2 linked regions of the Arabidopsis thaliana genome follow. The protein of the gene in region 1 interacts with the protein of each later gene in a pairwise test. Each region holds a gene or a part of one and is shown in the gene's direction. Other genes may lie near its edges.

Evidence for each region. The genes of interacting proteins can lie anywhere in the genome.
Region 2: the proteins of AT3G18680 (region 1) and CIPK22 interact in a two-hybrid assay, tested with the Arabidopsis thaliana proteins (one large-scale study listed by BioGRID).

Annotation. Positions count from the first base shown.
Region 1 is NC_003074.8:6,425,835-6,430,047, forward strand, and holds AT3G18680 (Amino acid kinase family protein), read left to right. Parts: upstream 1-1,568; 5' UTR 1,569-1,698; coding exon 1,699-1,913; intron 1,914-2,130; coding exon 2,131-2,272; intron 2,273-2,366; coding exon 2,367-2,420; intron 2,421-2,784; coding exon 2,785-2,876; intron 2,877-2,987; coding exon 2,988-3,214; intron 3,215-3,297; coding exon 3,298-3,686; downstream 3,687-4,213. Other genes in the region: AT3G18670 (Ankyrin repeat family protein), read right to left, coding at 7-637; MKS1 (MAP kinase substrate 1), read right to left, coding at 3,921-4,213. UniProt on the Arabidopsis thaliana protein: Catalyzes the reversible phosphorylation of UMP to UDP. Required for specific post-transcriptional processes of many plastid transcripts (e.g.
Region 2 is NC_003071.7:16,113,381-16,117,179, reverse strand, and holds CIPK22 (CBL-interacting Serine/Threonine-kinase), read left to right. Parts: upstream 1-1,975; coding exon 1,976-3,271; downstream 3,272-3,799.

The DNA of each region.
Region 1 (4,213 bases):
ACTTACAATATAATCCATCGACAATACAATTTGTCACGAGCATCGCTCCGTTCTTGCCCTTGTGTTCATCTGAATCATCACAAGGATCAAGATCACTGAGAGGTGTGTGACTGTAAAGATACTGAACCAAATGTTTGTGACCGTACAATGAAGCCACCACGATCGGTATATGCTCTTTCGCATTCCGAACACTGACCAAACCAGGACACTTATTCACCAAACACTCTGCAATTCTTACAATTCCACCAGTGGCAGCATAAGTAAGCGCTGTATAACCATTATCGTTCTTGATCTTTAACACTTGCTCTGGATCATGAATTCTTCTAATGATCTCTTCCACGATCTTGATGTGACCCGACAAAACAGCTTTATGGATTGGAGTGTCTCCATTAGAGGTTAAGATTGCGGTTAAAGCTTCAGGGTTTCGGTCCAAGAAGTCTTTCGTGGCTTCCAACTCTCCACTGTCTATGTTCTTGAAGAGGACAAGATAGGTCGAGTTCTCTTGTCGTATCTCGTCTTTTTGTAGATCGGCTGCTTCATCGATCTGCATACTATCAAACCGAAAGCTTCTGGGGCCCGTTTCTGGTCGTAGACTCTCTGCTCTGAAACCTCTGGGATAACCTTTCTCGGTATCCATTTGTCGGTTGCTTCTCCCGCAAGAAACGTGGTGGTATGTGTTTGTTTAAGTGTAAAATTGTTCTTTTATAATTTTTCTGTAAAAGAAAACATATCTTTCCGTTATTCGAACAGAGGCACATGAGTAAAGTGTTAAAAGAGTTGTGGTGGCTTATCTTTGAAGCAAGGTTTCAAGGACAAAGAAAAGAGACAAGGATTCAAGTAATTAAACATTATAATAAACTGTAATACGAATAATCCTTGACTATTCATACCATGAAAGATTTCAAGATCATTATCAGTGTTTTTTTCTTCTTATATGTGTTTGTTACTTTTACTTTTCCCGGGAATATTTAAAAGATCGAGCTTTAGTGTTACAAAAATTTACGTCGTTGCAAAGCAAAGAATTTAGTTTCACTCTTCAAAAACAATGTTACTTGTAAATTTGCAATTAGTAAACTTTTAAAACTTGAACTTGGTAAGAAAACTCATATTTTTCAAGTCATTGAAACGAAAATAAGAATGCTTTGTGGTTCTTCACTTCTCTTGTAGGATGCAAATGTAGTTATTTCAAACCTATTAATCAATTGTTATAAAAAAAGAAAAAAAACCATTGGTCAATAATAAGTACACATAAAATAGTGTGAATTATTTAGATATAAGAAAATATCTATCTATTTGTAGCTATTTGTTATATGTAGTGCACTAAAATTGGTGTTCAATTAAATTTGATTAAAAATTACATTTTTTATAGAAGTATATGTATAACGTATGTTAAAACTCTAAAAGACATTTTGACATATATCAAAATTTTCTAAATATATTCAGAATTTAATGAAAGTTATTCGTTTTTGTATGATAAGATAAGATTAAATATAGTGAATTATTGGGGATATAATTCAAATATATATATATATATATATATATATATATACACATTAAATATCACAACAATTCATTTGATTAATTAGTAAATTACATTGAAACCAGACCTTATCTTCTCAGACTTAAAACCCGTCTTTGCCGGCGACACTTCTCTACTGAATATTTCAGTAAATAATCTCTTCTTAGATCTCTCCGGCAATGGCAATTCCGTTGCCTCTTACCTCTTGCTCCCCAATCTCAACTTCTTCGTCTATTTCCCGAACCTCCTTCGTCCCTCTTACACTTCGCAATCGTACTTTCTTCTCCAACCAGAATTACAGTAGGCGTGTACTTATCAGCTGCTCTTCTTCTTTGTCCTCAGACAATGGTTCATCTCCAGACTCCATGAACGGAAACGGGAACGGGAACGGGAGGTATTATTAATCTTCAAGTTTTAATCTTTACGCCCACCAGATGTTTGTGAAAATTTGTCAATGAAGATACTTCTGGGTTTAGGGTTTAAGAGTTTATTAAAATATATTGCAAATCTGATTTTATTGTTTTGGTTGAAGTAAAACTTAACCCATTTATAATGTTTGGAACTTTGGCTGATTTTGTTAATACTCTGTTGCGATCATCTGTAATTTTCAGTAGCTTAAACGGGCAATCATCTTTCCCACGACTGCCTTCCTTTGATGGAACATCCAAACCACCGCTTAAATGGAGAAGGGTTTTACTCAAAGTCAGTGGAGAAGCTCTTGCTGGAGACGAGGAGCAAAATATCGACCCAAAGGTTTATTGTGATACCAAAAGAACCCTCCTTGTTTTGCTTTCTTTGTTCTCTGTTTCCTTACTTCAGAAGTCTCATCCAGTTTCCCGTTAATTAGGTTACTATGGCGATTGCAAGGGAAGTTGCAGCAGTGACTCGACTTGGCATTGAGGTTATTCTCTAAACGCTTCATTCAAACATTCTTGTTCTAGTTGTCATTGTGATAATTGGATTCAAAATTTTTTAGTGGATATGTATTCAGCTTTGAGTTCTTCCTATACATAAGTATAATACCCGAAGTATTTGATAATTGCCTGTGTAGATGTAACCAAATATGCTGGAAATCAATTAGCTCAAACTTACAAGAAACGGGAGCTTAAGTTAAGGGGTGGAGATATATGGCATTACACAACTTAAAGTTAGAAATTTGTTATGATTTAAACATACTATACGGCAACAGATCATGTGTCTGGGTCATTAAGAATCATTGCAATGTTGTGTGTGCTCTGTCTGATCTTCTTACGCCTTTACAATAGGTTGCTATAGTTGTTGGAGGAGGAAATATCTTTCGTGGATCTACCTGGGCTGGGTGCAGTGGCCTTGATCGCTCCTCTGCTGATTATATCGGGTAATCATACGCCTTTGTGTCAAAGGATCTTCTTCTTCTTACTCGGAGAAGATCCAGAATTTTCCTCTACTGGAGGTTTTTGGTCTCATTGGTTTATCTGAAATTGGATAGGATGCTGGCAACTGTGATGAATGCAATATTTCTTCAAGCGACAATGGAGAGTATTGGCATCCCAACCCGTGTTCAAACTGCTTTCCGCATGTCGGAAGTCGCAGAGCCTTACATAAGAAGACGAGCAATCAGACATCTAGAAAAAGGAAGGGTTGTAATATTTGCAGCTGGAACAGGCAATCCATTTTTCACCACCGATACTGCAGCGGCTCTTCGATGTGCTGAAAGTAAGTAAAGAGGTGGTTTCCGTTTAAGTTTTCTCCAATGATTATTCGCAACACTAAAAAAAAACTTTTCGCATTGGACACAGTTAATGCAGAAGTAGTGCTGAAAGCAACAAATGTTGATGGCGTGTTCGACGATGATCCTAAAAGAAACCCAAACGCTCGTCTGCTTGACTCACTAACTTACCAAGAGGTCACCTCAAAGGACCTCTCTGTAATGGATATGACTGCTATCACTTTGTGCCAAGAAAATAACATCCCAGGCTTGTTTTCTATAACACTCTCTCAAACCTTGACCACATGCATACATGATCATCTAAAATACAACAAGAATGCTTATTTAGTTCTGTGTCAATTTGCAGTTGTGGTATTCAATCTTTCGGAACCTGGGAACATCGCCAAAGCAATCAAAGGAGAGAGAGTTGGTACATTGATAGGAGGAACTTGGAACTCCATTGTTACAACAACCTCATGAAGAAGCCTATTCTCAAAACACAAAACTTATTAGAGTATCTTAGGTCAGGAGAATCTTGTAACTCCTGTATATATTAGTTTGCAGACAAGTTTTACATTCTAGGAATCTGTCTGAAATTTTTGAAAGTTAATCTTTTTATACATGAAGCTCATTTTAAACCCTTTGGGCTACTACATTGGATATGTCAAAATACATAATACAAAAAAATTACAGAGCAAAACACCAAAAAAAAATCTAATCTTGATCCCAAATATGACTAAAGAAATCAGCAAAAGTTGGTGAAGCTACCAAACTAGTAAAGCCAGGACTTCGAAACGGGCTCATAAATCCCGCCGGCGAGAATAATCCCAGTGGTATAGCCGGCGAAAACATCCCACCTTGATGATACATCGGAGAGAATATCCCGGTAGAAGCTGTTGGCAACAAGGCCGGAGATGGCGAGAGTATTCCCGGAGCATAACCACCAAATTCAGCTGCTTCTTCCATAGCCGTGTTGATTTCCACCGTCTCATCTCTCGCAGCCGGTT
Region 2 (3,799 bases), on another chromosome or scaffold:
AACCATCAATTTTTTTTTTTATGCTTTTGTTAAATTCTTTTCGTAAACAAAGACAAAATGTCGTAGAAATCTTCTGACGGTTGGTTTTACAAACTTTGCTTCGTAGAGTTTTTTTAATAACATTTTTAAAGAAATCACACAATATATGACGATGCGTGAGAAAGAAGAAACGTCTTAAATTAAGAGTGAGGGTGGGTGTACGGACGATGTCGATGGCTGACGTACACCATCACGGTGGTAAAGACGGTGTCTCTTTGAAGTAGATGTCTTTATTCTTGATGACGATAACAATGAGAAGATCAATATTCAATAATAAAGCAATGGTGATGTATTTGTTTTTCAAAAGAATTGATGTTTTTAAATGGATCGATATAGCACATAAATAAGTTGACTTGGCGGTTGGGCATTATATTCGATGTGATGATTCGATGGTTGGTTTTTCCGGTTGGGTATGACTCCACAATGACGCCCGGATGTCATAGTCTAAATGACTGTGTGACCGTACGATAAAATCGAGATAACTTTTGAAGTTTGGTTGGGTATTACTGCCGACTGTTAGGTGTTAATTTTCATTCAGATAAAGTCAATAAACTAAAAGGCAAATAGATAGTAAATACCGTTACGAAAGCTAACACCTACATATTGGAACACATGAATGAATGAGCAAGAGTTGTTTTCTTTATTCGTTTTACTTTGTCGAGTTTTTGCTTTTGCATATTTCCTAATTCTTTTTTTAGAGGTTTCTTGTTTTTGGTCAAAAATTTACAGGTTTATGATAATGTTTTGAACAAGTTCACGTGTAAGGATTAATTTTTTGGCTTTTTCAACAACAAAAGGGGTACTAGTATGATTTTAATCCACACACGAATGACTTGGATCCACGAATCCAACTTCAAATTAATTATAAGAAAAACTTAATTTGCCCATCATTAATCCTTAGATAACAAAATTTCCAGCTATTAAAAAGTAATTATTATATGTGGCATTGAATTTCAAACAACATTCAAATTTAAATGTTATTATTTTGTCACTCAAATTTAAAGGTTATTTATTGACTGGATAATGTTCTTGGTTTGATTGGGTTGCTACGGTTGGATGCGGTTAAAGACCAACAATTTCATCAGAATTAAGGATGGTTGATTTGTACCCACGATATAACATTCGTGTCTAAACATCTTTACATGCACATGCAATGTTGCGAGATATAGTTCACATAAAATTTGGTCCGGTTCACTTGTCTTGATTTGGTTGTACACTTCTACCTGATGAATATATATTCTTATGTTTTAAGAACCAAATCATATCCTCAGAACTAAAGTACCATCTTAACCGGTAAAGAAGCTTAAAACATCGTCATGTATACTGCTTAGCATTCTATACAAAGTAACGTCAATCCACGTTGTTTTTTTCTTTCACATTATTCAAATATTTTTATATAGACGTTCTTTTTATTTTTGATAAAGTTTTTATTTTTGTCAACGATGAACGTTTAAAAAAAAAAAATATGTCGAGTTTTCCCAGCTCCTACAAAAACAAATAAATTAAGACTTTAAATCCCACCTGGAATTAGAAGGTTTTGGTTGACCTGACAAGGCAGATGTTTGGTAACAACAACATGAACCACACATTGGGGAAAGAATCATGAAAATTCCTTGAATCGTAAATTATTTCAGGAGAAAATGACTCTATCTCTAACCTGGTTGATATATCGCAACTAATTCAAATTAGTAAAAATCGAAAATGTTATCGCATTTTGAAATTGTCTTTTGTGAAGATTGTTTCTTTCATTTATTTGTTTAATGCATTTTATAATAAAGTCAAACTATTTTAAAATCTTTGTTTAAAATAATAGCTTACTTACGTGGCAAGTTGAGGAATTTCAATAAGAAGAGGCACCGCGCGCATGTCTTTTACAATTCCTAGACTGTTTCTCTTTACTCTGTTTTTTTGCTCTGTTTTTTTTGTTTGTTTGTTAATGGCCGAAGACTCTAATTCTTCCGAATCAATCATTGTTAACGTCACCGGAGATGATAATAAGTCGGCTTTGTTCGGTAAGTACGATCTCGGTAAGCTCCTCGGTAGCGGCGCGTTTGCCAAAGTCTACCAAGCGGAGGATCTTCAAAACGGCGGCGAAAGCGTTGCGATCAAAGTCGTACAAAAAAAACGTTTGAAAGACGGTTTAACGGCGCACGTTAAGAGAGAAATATCTGTCATGCGCCGCCTCCGTCATCCTCATATCGTGCTCCTCTCCGAAGTCCTCGCCACAAAGACGAAGATCTACTTCGTCATGGAGCTAGCCAAAGGTGGTGAGCTCTTCTCAAGAGTCACCAGCAACCGTTTCACAGAGAGTCTTAGCCGGAAATATTTCCGGCAATTGATCTCCGCCGTGAGATACTGCCACGCAAGAGGAGTTTTCCACCGTGATTTGAAGCCGGAGAATCTCCTCCTCGACGAGAATCGAGATCTGAAGGTTTCAGACTTCGGTCTCAGTGCGATGAAGGAGCAGATCCACCCCGACGGAATGCTACATACGCTCTGTGGAACTCCGGCTTACGTAGCACCGGAGCTTCTTTTGAAGAAAGGCTACGACGGTTCTAAAGCTGATATTTGGTCATGCGGCGTCGTTTTGTTTCTTCTCAACGCAGGCTACTTGCCGTTTCGTGATCCAAACATCATGGGACTCTACCGGAAAATCCACAAGGCTCAATACAAGTTACCGGATTGGACATCTTCAGATCTGCGGAAACTCCTCCGCCGTCTCTTGGAGCCAAATCCGGAACTGCGAATCACCGTGGAGGAGATTCTAAAGGATCCGTGGTTCAATCATGGAGTAGATCCAAGCGAAATCATCGGAATCCAAGCCGATGATTACGATCTGGAAGAAAACGGTAAAATTCTAAACGCGTTCGATTTGATTTCTTCGGCGTCGAGCTCGAATCTCTCCGGTTTGTTTGGAAATTTCGTGACGCCGGATCATTGCGACCAGTTTGTATCCGATGAGAGTACGGCCGTTATTATGAGGAAGGTCGAGGAAGTTGCGAAGCAGTTAAATTTGAGAATCGCGAAGAAGAAGGAGAGAGCGATAAAGCTTGAAGGTCCACATGGAGTAGCTAATGTCGTCGTTAAAGTTCGCCGGCTAACAAATGAACTAGTGATGGTGGAGATGAAGAACAAGCAAAGAGACGTGGGCTTGGTTTGGGCCGATGCTCTTAGACAAAAGTTACGTCGTTTGATTAACCAACCGGTTTATAAAGTTCCTGACAAACCGTAAAACGGTTTCAACACTAAACCAACAATCCGTGCGTTTTACTTTTAGAATTTTCAACGTACTACACTCGGGATCGAGACGCATTGTGGTTAACCGGTTCGGTTTACATTGGAGCAGGGAGAGTAATGGGACGATCCGCCTCTTTGTATATAAAAATGACAAGAAGAAAGAAAAAAACAAACCGGGATTCAATTATTTTTGTTTATTTATTTTCGGAGTATAATTTAAACACAAAAATTATTTGCTTTATTCATCGGAGAGAATTTGAATAAAACTCTGATTTGAACTTTGTAGCCTTTTATGTGTGACCGTGTGTGTTTGCAAACTTGGGCCTTATTTTGCGCTAAGGGACATGCTACACCGTTTGTAATATTTATCGTTGTTGATTTTGTTTGGCAATCGTACGAAGTATTTCAGGATCTTTTATGTATGAATGTTTATTTGAGTTTGTATTAAAAACATATATATGAATGTTACAGATTAACGAATAGTTGTCACTGCTGATTACCACTTGGCAATTCCGTTAAAACA